2 linked regions of the Drosophila melanogaster genome follow. The protein of the gene in region 2 interacts with the protein of the main gene of each other region in a pairwise test. Each region holds a gene or a part of one and is shown on either strand. Other genes may lie near its edges.

What was found.
Region 1: the proteins of IFT46 (region 2) and Ttc26 interact in a two-hybrid assay, tested with the Drosophila melanogaster proteins (one large-scale study listed by BioGRID).

Annotation. Positions count from the first base shown.
Region 1 is NT_033777.3:15,770,937-15,778,059, reverse strand, and holds Ttc26 (tetratricopeptide repeat domain 26), read right to left. Parts: upstream 3,645-7,123; 5' UTR 3,565-3,644; coding exon 3,562-3,564; exon of another isoform or gene 3,501-3,561; coding exon 3,336-3,500; intron 3,289-3,335; exon of another isoform or gene 2,937-3,288; coding exon of another isoform or gene 2,739-2,936; exon of another isoform or gene 2,718-2,738; intron 2,174-2,717; coding exon 1,289-2,173; intron 1,227-1,288; coding exon 766-1,226; intron 707-765; coding exon 508-706; 3' UTR 420-507; downstream 1-419. Other genes in the region: CG45207 (uncharacterized protein), read left to right, coding at 2,739-2,936.
Region 2 is NT_033779.5:18,611,917-18,619,039, forward strand, and holds IFT46 (intraflagellar transport 46), read right to left. Parts: upstream 4,191-7,123; 5' UTR 3,904-4,190; coding exon 3,718-3,903; intron 3,593-3,717; coding exon 2,528-3,592; 3' UTR 2,423-2,527; downstream 1-2,422. Other genes in the region: Atac2 (Ada2a-containing complex component 2), read right to left, coding at 1-262.

The sequences.
Region 1 (7,123 bases), on a different chromosome or scaffold from region 2:
TTTTATTTCATTAATTATCAATTAGTTTTTGAAAGTTGCTGCGCCTGATTTATTAAGTGGACAGCGGCTGGCACTGGCATAACTTTTGAAATGCCTGTCTCAATTTTCTTGATAAAATTGCTCTTCAATTAATTAACCAAATTGTTTTGCGGATACAAATTATATTCGTGTATGCCGCAAATTAATCAGGTATCATGTGAAAACTGCTGCCAGGCCAATTGCAAATGAATTAGTATCGTTTTTCACCACTTAGAAGCTATTTCCATTTTAAATAAGCTCTCCAAAATCCATCGTCTTTGACTTGAGTTGCGGCTGACCAAATTTAAATTAATTATTAAAATAGTACACCAATTTTAAGTGATTTCACTTAAGCATTGAAAGGCGACCACAATTTTGCCAAGCTTATCATATAAATATTTGATTTTGAAAAGTAACTTTTTATTGTATTAATATGTGTGAAATTGGCCTTAACATAAACAAAATCTAATTTTGCCTTCAGTTTATTATTTATTTAAAATGATTGATGTGCTTTCGAATCGTTTTGATCATGGCCTCAGCCTGCGAGTTCGACGAGTCGCGTAGGATGCCGATGACCTCTGAGATTCCTCCACCAGGACGACCTCTTTGTGCCTTGGTGCACAAGGCGAACAAAACTCCGGCGCAGGCGCCCCTTTTGCCCTCCCAATTCTCCGGACTGGGATCTAGTCTGTTAAATCCAATTATTTGTAAATTGTTTTAATTTTGCTACTTAATTAATCCACTTACTTTTCGAGCATATCAAATGCTTTGGCTGCCACCCAAAATTCGGCACACTTGTAACACTCATTGGCAATCAGTTGCAACAGGATAAATGCCTCCGCATTCGTATCCCTGGTGATGAATACATTCCAAGCTAGCTCAGGGTGACCGCAATGTATGTGGCACTTGGCCAGGATCATGCAGTAGGTATGCTGGTTCTTGATATCCATGTCGGAGATCTGCATCAGCAACTCCTCCGCCTCCTTGTAATATCCTGTGGCGCATTTCGCCTGGGCAAAGTTATAGTTGAAAACATCGTCGTTCACGAAGTAACTGCGAATGGAGTTCATGTAGACCAGCACCTCCTCGAATTGCTCGTAGAGGAAAAAGGCGGAGGCCATACTCTGACGACCCGGTATAGTGTCACACTCTGTTGCCGAACTGCCCACCAAATGCAGGTTTTGCTGGGCCGTCTTGATGTGCTCTTTCTATAAGGAAAAGGATATGGTAACATTGCTTTCCCCATCGAGATCTGTATCCATTTCCTTACCGATCCCAATTGCTGGCCCAGGGCGGCATGGACCACTCCTTTGAGTATGTACTCATGCGGCGAAGTTGGCTGTAGTTCCTTCATCAGAGCATGAGCTTCCTGAACATCGCCCTGCTTCAGATAGTATATAGCCAGATTCAAGCGAGCCTCAGGAATGATATTCAATAATCCTGGCAGGACTCTCAATGCCCCTTCACCGTTCCGAAAAACGACCAAGTTGTGACGCAGAAGATCCGCTCCGAAGGTGCCATTATCGGCTATATTCTTGATTTCCTGCTCGGCCACACGACCGTTGAACAAACGAAATCGATTGCAAGCCTTTAGGTTAATAGCTATGGTACTATCGCCATGTTGACTGAGATACACATCCAAGACCTCCTGGGACATGTCGTAATAGTCGAGCTTGTAAAAACACAAGGCCAAATAGACATTGATGGCCTGGTATTCCTTGTTGTCCACCAGCACCCGTTTGTACACATCGATGGCCTCCTGGTAATGGGCCCGCATGTAGTGCATCGAAGCCAGGCTGAGCTGCTGTTCCAAGCTCGAGGAATCCTGCAGCTCCTCCTGCAGCTGGCTCCACTCCTCCTCGTTGCCCAGCTTGTGGGCCAAGTGGAAGAGGAGTCGCTGCTTCAGCGGATTGTCAGCCGCATTGGCCATCAGTTGTTGGGCCTCCTCGTACAAGCCCAAGTAGAACATACACACGGCCAGGTTGAGATCCAATTTCCCATCAGGAGTTGACGAACCCTGCTGTATGGCCTTGTATTGGGCCAGCGCCTGTTGGTAGTCACCCAAATGGAAATTGCAAAAGGCAATCCACTGATCCACCTGACTCTGCTTGGATCCATGAGCACCCTCCTCCTCGTCCTCGTCGTCGTTGGCGAACTGAAATGGATGGACCAGTTAGATATTCTACAATTCGATTTAACATTACACTTGACACACCGCATATATATAATTTGTTTTCCTTTTAATACCATTATTGAGAGTTACACATGTTTGTTAAAAATCACGACATTTAACGTCACTGCTTTAATAGTGACTAATAAAAGCATTGTGTATAAATGCAAAAATTAGCTAATCGAAAAACAAGTTATGTATAAAACAGGTCCGTTTCGGCAAACACAGCAAGTGGTTTTCTGATAAAACTAATACTATGCTCTGTGGTAGCACAAATCGATTATGAATAAACAAAGGTAACATGTCTTTGAACCACAATATATTAATTCACAGATTGAACTTCAGTAGACTCAAATTTTACAGTGGTCGTTCAGAAAACAATGGATGGCTATCAATCGATTAATGTATTCGGACTAAGAGATGCAAAGTTATACGCGTCATTAATCTATATAAGTAAGTCACAAAAAAACGAGTCTAGGCCAAATTCAACATCTTCCAAACTGGTATAAAAGCAGCTGACATCTAGTCAGAATGCATTGTGATCTCTACCATGAAATTCTTGTCTCTGTTTGTGTGTCTTTTAATCGCGCTAATCGCAGTTAAGGCAGATCCTTTATCGCCGTCTTTTCAAAAATGCCTGGATGAAATAAGTGATGCGGAATTGTGTGAAAATTTCAAAGATCAATTCCCGGAAGATGCACCTGCTGTTCCTCTCGATGAATTTACCTTCGAGGCGTATTCTGGATAATTTAACTTCACTTTCGTTGAGTAATTCCGACGAACGCGAATTAAGCTGAATAATTTATTGTGCACTATTGCTTTATAAGTTAAGCAAATAAACAAATTTGTTTTGATGTAATATTTGATTGGTTTCCATCGATTTGTGTTTTGACAAGAAATTAATCAGTCGCCTTAGATTTGGCTATAAAAAGCTTTTGTAAGCTAAACTAAAATCAACATTAGCACATAAAAGTGTACTTATCACCACTAATTAGTTGAAAATAATGTATATAGGTAAAGAAACAACCCATACCAATTAAATTAAAACTGGCTGCGGCAGTTAATGCTGCCATGTATAAGAAAATAAAATGTGAAAACTCAGCAACGATTGTCCACTGAATTTGGGGCAAAAGTAATCCATACGCACCTCCAGAAAAGCCCGGGCTCCCGTGTAGTCCCGCCTGATGATGAAATCCTCTAGGGAGGCCGGTGCCGGAGTCTTCCTTGCCTGCCTTCCAACGCCGAGTCCACTGCCAGGACCTCCGCTGGCATTTCTCGAGCTCGCCGAGTCGGTTTTTCCGCGCGAAAGTATCTGGACAGGGACATAAGTATCTTCGGAGTATCTGATAACATTTTCCAGGCACATTTCTTACCATTTTTTCGCACAGCCGTTCGTTTTCTCGGGATTTGCGCTCCTTACTGCCCAGCTGGCTCCTCGGTGTTTGGGTCTTGTGTGTTTTGCGTTTTTCTGTTTTCGTCGGCAACGCTTGGTTACGGTCGCTTGGCAACCTACATAGCGTCGATAAAGCAGTTCGACCACGCCTCACTGCGCCCAGAAAGCGCCCCTTCTGGATACTTGTGCGCAATCCTATCCGTATCCTTGCCCTCAACTGCAGCTGGGAACCAACTGTTGATACGTCGGAACAGCCACCCTTAATTCTTGGGATATCGTCTTCTCATTTTCCGATGATGTCAGCAGGACTTCATACCCCTTAAATATTTTTTCTTTGGGGTATAATTGAATGTGGTTTTCATGAAACAGTTTAAATAATATAATCTATTAATAATATCAGTTCAATAAGCATGCTTACAACTCATAGAAAAAAATTAAACATTTTATTGCTAGATTTTTTTTCTTATTCAGCTGGAAAAGACATGAAAATATACCCAACAACTTAACACCAGCTGAATGTGAAGTGCAAGACGACTCTGGTCAGATTGTGGCTCGGTTTTGGGTGAGCACAGGTAGACTTATGGCACGCGTTGTTGACACAGTTCCACAGGAACTGATGTTTTTGCATTTGCATTTTCATTTTGCAATTTCTTTATTTATAAGACGCACACGAATCATAAATATGCATGCAGGCGGCCTCCGGCGAGAAATGCATGCGTCAATCCGAACGCCTCGGCATGGGTGGCATACTTTAGGAATTCTCCTGTTTTCACTCAACTCTGCTGACACTGCATAATGGCTCACAAACACATGTATTTCGAGTGATAGACATGACTGTAGAATTTTGTTATTCCAGTGCAAATTCGAACGCCATCAAGTGGAAAAACAAGTGGAAAATAACAACAGTCCAAGCAGAGCAAACTGTAAATAATGCTTCACAATTATGCTTCACGGGAGAAAAGATTGATTTAAGAATATTTATGTATTCTTTAAACCGCAAATGCTAAATGAAATTACTATAAATTGAAAGAGGTAAGCCAGAAGTGCAGCTTGCTACTTTCCCAAACAGGAAACCCCAACCAATTGAATATAAAACGCGGATAAAAGATGAACAACAATCTGTTCGTTGCGTGCAATAAAACAAGATAAAGCATAAGTCCAACAGCACCAACAGTAAGGCAAACAAATTTACTTTCAAGTTGTAGCATTTATATATGTATATCTATGTACATATATATATATATATTTCCATCCAGCAGGCAGTCATTCGGCGTACGCGCCTTTGTTTATGCTACACTTTATTGCGCTTTTGCAATTTCGCGTTTCCGTTTCCCGTCAAATCAGCCATAAAAAACGTAAAGCAAATCTGGGAGTCATGACCCCGCCCAGCTGGATCCTTCTGGTCCTGCTCCTTGAAGGCGCCTATTACATTTCGCAGTCGAATAAACAATGCCAACATCATTTGCACCTCCTTCATTATGGGCTTGGCTCGTTATTTGTCAAACAAATAAACAGCAGGCAATGCCAATGCCGGTGCACTTAGAAAAATTAGAATTTAATTTTTTGCTGATAACATTGGAATATCAAACTGTTGTACAGATAAGTAAATAGATAGTTATGTAAACTAATACATTACTATACATTAATCTGTGACTTAAAATTACTTTAAATTTCATTTAGAAAGTTTATAGCACACTTGGCTCAGTACATTTTCTCGCAGTGTGGATGATGGGGATTTTTTGGGGGACTTCGTTGGAAAACAGAAGACTTGCCAGTCACTGTTACGTGCAATTGTCTCCCGCTTGGGCCCATGATTTTCCATCATTAGAATGGAGAGCTGTTCGTGTTTACAATTTTTCCAACGCTCCTTTTTTCCCTCTGTGACAATTTATTGTCATCTTCTGCTTCACATTGAGTGTATGCTCGTTTTGTTTTGTTTATACACTTTCGTATTTGCATTGCCTTCTGTTCTCTGCTTTTTTTTCGTCCTTTTTTGGACTGGATTTTTTCTAAGGAAAATTGCGAACTTGCGAAATGAAGTGCAAAATTCAAACGGAAATTGAAACGGCAATGACAGAGTCGACTTGAGTTGAGTTTGTTTCTTCCTTTCGCTCCTTTTGCTCCTTGGGCTCTATTTATTTCTTCTTTTTTTTGCTTGGTAGCAGAGCCTGGACTTTGGTCTTCTTCGCAGGACTCTTGGGCACATGTTGCCTGCAGTTGCATATATAAATGTTTCTTCACAATGAAGTTGGGAAAATGGCGATTTTCTCAAGCGTAAACTAAACACTGGAAATGCGAGAATAAATAAAAATGGACATCTCGGCGAATTTATTGGTCATGATGATGACGACGCCTGAGTTTGGATTTAGCACAAATGTTGAATACCACTGAAGCATGCATAATAATGGGGCAGTGAACTTTACGAATTGGGCTCTGGTCAAGGATGAACGGGCGAAATGAAGTTAAACTCTTCGGAAAATGTTTTGAAATAGTTGAAAGTATTGCGGGCAATTCAGTGGATTTGTTCCATCTGCGATTTGGGATCGATTTTCAGCCTTGACTGCACCAGCTGAAATATCAAAGAGCACCACTTTCGCTGGCCAAAATAAATTCGTTAGTTCGCCAGAGAGGGAAATTGGAAACATAACATATACATATAGTCGTATATACAACCATATATGTATGTATGCAAAGAAATCAGACAACTGTTGTTTGCAATTAGAAGCAAATAAACTAAATTGTTTCGCGGTTCGCAGTTTTTGAACAAGCGGCGCACATTTTCAAATTTGTTCAGCACACAAACTCACTAACATCGGCGGATTTGCTCTTAATTTTTGCGGCAATCGCATTATTGGTAAATGTGTGAAATGTTTTTGGCTGATTTTGCCCGGTCACTTTCGGCCAAGCGGCTCTTGACGAAGCTTTCTACACGATTTGGCGCATTTACATATTTTAATTAAAACATAAATTCTGCATTTTGCCCATACAGCTGAATATCGGTTGCGTGCGAAAAGCCAGAGAGAGCATATTATGCAGCTCTATTTTGACCGTTTTTTGATTAGTGATGCCACAAAGTGGTCACTGTGATTCAATTTCGAATTGTTTCTGGCTTTCAGCTTTGGGTGGATTGAACGAAAATCACTCTTTTAACTTCATCAAATAGTAACTTTATTTGAATGCTGTGCATTGAGTACAGTGTTGCAGAACCTATTTATAAAATAGGTAGATTCTATTCATTGAAAAGTAGGTAACAAGTAGAAGAAGCGTTTGCGACAAGCCTAGAAAGTATATATATTCTTGATCGCGATCACTTGCGGAGTCCGTATGACCGTCCGTATGTGTCCGTATGAACGTCGAGATCCTAAAAAGATTCTAAAAGCGAAACAGTTACTTATCACAGTTTCAGATAGTTTCACTGCCAGCCCAAACGAACTCCAATCTTCTATCTTGAAGGCACATCTCTTTGAGTCGTTCGATGCTTTTGCATGCCTTTGGTTATTTTAATAAATATTTCATCAGACACACGCACATCACCGCACCGA
Region 2 (7,123 bases):
TTTGGCGCACGATCACTTCCTTAATGGGTTCTAGATCTGAGGGTATGACCGATTCCTTAGCTTTATCCAGCACACACTTGACGCACGTGAACTCGAAGAAAACGTCGCCTAAAAGATCTCCGGGCGTGCAAGCATGCGGCAGGCATTTGATGTGAACCATCCGCCTGCATTCCTGGCACTCCAGGTAGTTGTCGTCCTCCACCGGCGATTCACAGTAGCGGCATGGTCCCTGGGGATCATCCCAGTTACTGGGCCGATTCATTTACTCAGTAAAACAGCACAAATTGCAAGTTAAAAACAATCAACAAAATAATGTGTTGTTTGTGTGTTACCGTTTCGCACTTTTTGGTTTATACCATATATATGAGAAGCTTACATTTTGAAAATACCAAAAAATCGCACTGTGCTCGGTTCAAATTTGTCAATAATTTGAATTGGGAAAACAAAAAATAAAATTAATTTGTATTCTTAATTGATCTTTTCTGAAGCACTACAAAACATATTATTATTAAGCACTTATTTATTTATTAACATTGCCGTTTTAAAATGCCGAAGATGTCAGCATTAACATAATTTAAAATAATTTTTTATTGTTAAAATGTCATAAATAAGCATTTTTAATTAATATGGAACAGAGACAAGGCTATGGTCTTCGCATATTATATACCCTCTTCTCAGGTGTATTCAACATTTTCTTGTCACATTTTTAGAAATTGCAAGCAAATATCAAAACACTTTTTAAAAGTTTTGAGCTCTTGGTGGGCGTTAGAGTGGGCGTGGCATTCTTCTGAAACAAACTGTGATGCGTCTACATGTCTAGAATCTGATTGCTCCATCTTAGCTTCCTAACTTTTAAGTTCCCGAGATCACAGCGCTTATACGGACGAACAGAAGGACACGTTTTAATCGACTCGTCCACTGATCCTGATTACATATATATGCTTAATACTGTCGGGAATGACTTTTTCTTTTGTTATTTCTTATGCCAGTTACCTACTTTTCAACGAATCTAGCATATCCTTATGCCCTTATATACACTATATAAAAGATCCCGATTGTTTTTTATGTTCTCCCTATCTAGAAGATAAGAATCCGCTTGATTAGTACAGTCCCGTTTCGCTTGATCAAGCATGCGTTTGTCACGCCCTACGCCCACCAAGCACATTAGTACCAACGCCCACCACCCACCACCCAACGCCCAGCGTCCTTTGGCCATGCAACGAAAATGACATTAATGGGCTCTTTACGGCTTACGCATAATTAAGGCTGTTTCCGGCAGACCATCGACCATCGGACCTGGCCCCATTGCTTTTGGCCCGGTCAGTGTGTTGTCTTAAGCGGGCCTAATTAGGCATCGCCGGCTGCTGCGTTCTGGCGAAGCTGTTGCTTCTGCTTCTGCTTCTGCTGTTGTTGTGTGTTTGATGAAGTGCATGATTGGTTTATGGACTGAAGTGGGATGGTCGAAACTGCAGGCCGGCTAAGTGGGGTATTCAGTTGAGAACCAAAGCTGAACGGATCCACAATTGTTTCTTTTGTAAATCACTTTCTATTTGCCGAATGATTATTACTGCAAAGCATGCAGTTTGTGCATCTTACAGGATATGCACCTATTTACGATTTCACTTCAACACTCATCGTTTTCAATTCAATTTGAATATTGCACTTCAAGTTCTTCCCTGCCTTTAATATCTGTAGTTGAATTCCTTTCAACTTGCTTGTCTGGCGCCTCGAGGAGATTTTCATTTAATTCGCGACTGCCCGCTGGCAAGTCGAAAAGAGCGAAAAATATGGTGAAACAAATTAATTTGTTGGTGCTACTACAGCCAAAAGTATATCCCCGAATTATGTTTTAAAGTATATCTATATCTTAGTTTTGCGAAAGTTAAAATGAGTTTCACTCATAAATCACTTAAAGCTCGAGGGTAAATATTTTCTGGAAAGAGCTTGACAAATTGGATAGTCGTTTACTAGCTGATTATGACATTTACAGATGCGATGCTGGTTAGAATTTGTTTGGCCACCCATTTTGTTCATAACAACCGTATTTGCTCTCAATCACCAGACTTATTGCACCTTAGCTCCACGGCCATGGCTTGACCGTTTTCCGAACGATTTAAGGCCAGGTCCTGGCACAAAGGGAAAAGTAAGGGAAGGATATGGGGGCATCCCCCCATCGTGAGGGGCAAACAAACGCCGTCTGGCTGTCACTTAATCGAAGCCATTAGCGTTATTAGTGGGGCTGCTACCAGCCGATGCACTGAGAAAATATATACGATGCTCGATGAATATTTGATTAAATAGCATTATAAGTTATATAATTTAACAATAATTGTTAAATTCTTTGCAGTCAGGTGTAATTGTGTCTGGATCTCTATTACACTTCTTTAGTAGATACAAAACAGAAATTAAAAATAAATTGTAAGCTATAAGAATAAATATTTTATTAACTTTAAAACATATATTTTAAGAACAAATTATGTTTTGATTTCCTTGATCATTTGTATGATTTATGTTTTATATGCATCTATTATTCCCACGCCTGACTGGCGGCCAAGTAGAGGGCAAAGAGTGTCTGGACATTATGGATGTAGTCCGCCTGCGACTCCAAAGGTCCTTCCACTCCGAATCTCTCGCAAAGAACTCCCACGTATTCCGCTACAGAAATGTTCTGCTGCAGACAGGATCTGTAGGCCTGATCAAGGGCATTAATGGTTTGTTCATCGCCAAAGGATCTCGGCCAATCCTCCAGGAGGGCATCTATGTCCTTTCTGGGCTGGACATCGTACATTGACTGAGTCATATGCACTTGTTCCACCTCAGTGATCCACTTCTCTATATCCTTGCCCGATCGGGCGGTGGGAACCAGTGATGCGGAGGAGGCGTGACGCGGATTTCGCCCCATGCTGCCACTCAGTACCGACCGAAGTTTCATATTCAGCAGACTGGGCTCACTTTGAGCGCCAGAGGGCTCATCGAGCAACCATAAGCCCAATTTCTCCAAGTGATCGTTCAGATCCTTCTGGCGTTGGGGCTGCAAAAGAGGCGGAGCCTGGACTTTCAGAAGGGCATCCACATCACCCACAGCGGGCACAAACTCGGGGATGAAAGGTTGCAGGTGAAACGGAGTATCGATCGTTTGCGGGGTGTATTTGACGATGTAGGGAAAGAGTTCCTTGAGTTCTCCGGGCACGGACAGATCCTCCCATTTGTCGGCACTCATAATAAAGGATTGATCATCCTGCCGCTTAGATCTTCCTGCTCCACTAGCACTTCCCCTCATGGGAAGCGTTAGCTTTTGATGTGGTAGCTTGGCTCCGCCTCTTGCTCCTCCGGATCCCATTCTGCCACCCATTGCGGCCTCCTCGCTGCCCGAGCTCAGGGTGTCATCCGGTACTTGCTTGGAACTTCGGTTGCTTCCCGGCCGCTTTTGCATGTTCGGCCCGGGCACCAGACCCGTCATTCCCACGCCCATGGTCATGCCCTGGGGCAGCTGCATCTCGCTGTCATCGTCATCCTCGCTGTCCTCCGCCTCGTCATCGTGATCAATGATGTCCTGCAGCAGACCATCGTCATCAGTAGAGTTGTTTTGGAACTGTTGCATGGAAGGAATATGCATATATGAAATTATTATATTCATTGAACAAGAATTGTACGCATTTAAATTGCTCCTTAATACTTATTTTCATTTCGTCACCGTGGAAATTCTTTACCACTCACCATTCGACGGTGCCTGCCTGCGGCTGCTCTTCGTACAGCTCCTTCTCCGCCCACTGCTCCTGGTCCACCACCGCCAGCACCACCTCTGCCACCGCCTGTTCCTCCATTTCGGGGCTCCATTTGAACACTGCTCAGGTGCTTGGAGTCGGGTCCGCCGATTGTGATCTCCTCGTCGTAGAAGTTCATGGCCAAGGACCAGCTGCGAGGACCCGGATTCAGATTCAGATTCAAATAGCTCTCCAGCTGCGAGTCCTCTCGAGCTATTCAGTTTCCTTTCACCGTTTTCCTGCCCACTTCCTGGCTTTCCGCGAAATTCGCACAACACTTGTCCCGCAATTTTCCGCTCCTTTTGCAGGTGCTGGGTCCTCGTCCTTGTTTCCTATCTCCAGAGCAGAGTTTTCTTCCTTTTCAGCGTTTTCCGCGTCGTTTTTTCTGTTTTCACTTGCTTACCTGCTGGAAACTTGTCAATTGCTTTGGCCAATGCCGGTGTCGATGTCGATGTGGTCGTCCTGACAACGCAACCCACTACGCTGCACTGCGAGAAATATTTTCGTGTGTTTAAACTGGAAGTACGTATATGTGCATTCATTTTTAAGAATTTGCATTATTCGAAACTGTTGTATATGACAGACAATACAATTATAATTTTTGTACACACGTTTTCTCTCTGTGCATCAAGTGGTTGTTATTGTCATATCCTTTTTGGCCTGCGTAAACATTTACAGCTGAAACAGTTGCCCTTTGTTATGGGCCAGGGTTTTAATTACATTCAATTTTTGAACCGATTTACCATCGGCGTTCGTCCTGCGTCCATTTAAATAATTTGTAGCTACTGTTTAAAGAGAATTTTATGGCGCCGATTTATTAATGAACATGCGAAATTTGGGACACTTTCAAAGTGCCCATAAAAGGCTTAACCAAATAGATTTACATTTACACAAGGCGCCGTCTTTCCGGAACTTATTTCCAAATTTCAATGCTTATAGTTTTAAGAGGTGATAACGATGTTCAAAACAACATATGTGGGTTTTTTTTGATAATGGTCTAATATCTAAAAACACCTTTTTCTTAGCGAACATCCCTTTCTTTGGACCATACGATACAAATATGTTTTTGCCCGAAAAATACCGAAGTTAAATTAATTAATGGAAAACAATCCGAAAGAGAATAAAAAACTATTTTTAAAGTTTTTATTCAATTGAAACCCTCAAGCTTTAGAACGCACGGCTGAAATAAATATGAAAGTATTAAACTTTATAAGAATGTAAAAAAAATTAATGAAATATGAAGTTTTTTTAAAATTGTTTTTGGTTTTACCGTTGTTGTTAAGACTATTTAATTTGTACAATGTAAATATTTAGTAATCAATGCATTTTTTAGATTTATTATTATTATGCGAGTCGTTTGTATTATTTATTTATTTTTATTTTATATTAATGATGTCAGTACCCAAGAGATAATGCTGTTACATATTATTTCTGAAATATATATGCCCCAGCTTCCTACGATTAATGGGTACAGCGAGAGAGCGTTAACATTTTCTGACTCTGTTAACGTGCTGTTATCTGGAACTAACAGCGACGGCAGCGGGAGTTCGCCACTTGTTTTGCCAGCCATTCATCGGCATTCGGCTTTTGAATCTTCTGGCGTGCGGACGTAAAGTAACTGCGACTGTTTCGTCTTTGGTGCGCGTATACTGGTGCCGTTTTATCACGTTGTATCTTAATAATAAGCGATAACAGCAGCAGCATTGGCCACTAATTAAATGCTGAAGTGACTGTGTGTCAATTGAATCTGTACGACTTTTGATTGAATTAAATTGCGAATTACAAAACACAAAAGCAAACGGCAATTAACGGTTATAAAGCCGGACCAGTGCGGCAATAAAAACAATTTGATCGGGTGCCAAAAGATATTTTTGCACACACTCCTTTTTTGGGATAATTAAAAGGACAGTGCTTGCCCGTGTGTGTCCTTCCGCTGGACTGGAGTGTGTGTGTGTGTAGTGGTTGTGAAGGAATTTCTCATTAAACCGACGCTAAAAGGATTACGAACCCGTTCATCTTCATCAGACCCGCGTATCGAGTAACGGTAAGTTGCGGGGGATTCCACCACATATGTACATTTATATTATCACACAGACGAATTTAATACAGGCCTAATCATTAAAAACGAAGGAGGAAGTGGAAGGGAAAGATAATCGAACCTGTTAAGTTGTTGAGTTACTAAGTAAATTTCTTTCTTCAAATATTTCCTAATTAAAACTCAAAATGTATATAGGGAATCTCTTTTTTTTCACTGTGCACATCATTAATTCCTCATCCGTTTTACGCGTTGGCTTTCACGCGACCCTCGCAAGAGTTAAAAAGGGTTGACCATGTTTTGGCCGGGGTCAATATGCTTCTGTTGAGGTTAAACCGTTCTAGGGGAATACAAATCCCACCCCGCCCTTACCGCCTTCACCACCCACATACCGCCCCGCCCCATTGCGAGCCAAACAATGAAAGCCCCCAAAAAAAGTGCCGGCAATAAAACGAAATTGTTTTGAATTATTGAGATCTGGCAGAAAGAGCGGCCTGTAACCGGATGGTAACTTTCTGGTTTGGGCTTTTTTTCATTTTGTTTAAATATAATTTATATTTGGCGCATATATAGCCAGGATCACGGGACCCGGAAAAGGACTGAGCACTCTTATAGGTGTCTGGGGGCATTAACGGTTAACATGTTTGCGGTTTTTGATTGCTGCCAAGTCCTTTTATCAGCCCATAAAACGAGGGTCTCCCAACGCCTGTTACCGCCCACTTTTGGGGCCATATGTTGGGCGTGAGGAAGTTCGAAGGGGTTGGTTCTTTGGAGTGGGTGTTGTGGTTTCTGCAAATTGGCGAAGGTTTTATAGAGTTCAGTGGAGTAACAACCAGTTTATCAATTTTGTGCGCAGCTTATAAGATAAGAGTTGTATGCAAACTGCAAAACGGGTCGCTGTACTAACAACAACAATACGGAATAACTGGGAATAAATATAACTGATTACTGATCATAAAACCATTCATTAAGCTATTCCCAAAGGGAATTTCCCATGCACCATAAATACACTTCACATACAAACTTAGGTTTAATTAACCGAAAATCCATGCTCCATCAATAATATCGAAGGGCATCATTTTCGCTTTCCTTTTTCTCCACACTCAATTGCAGCCTTTAGCCAATATTAAGATTCATTTGCAGCGAGGAGAATCTAATTTCTTGGCCAAGTCAGAGGTTATTAGCCATCCAACCACATGCAGCATTCGACAGCCCTGCGTGGCTAATTAATTTCCATTCAGTGAATGGAAATACGTATACCATGGAAAACCGCAAATTAATTTCCCGACACAACGAGAGGGAGTGAGAAAAGGACAGACAGATA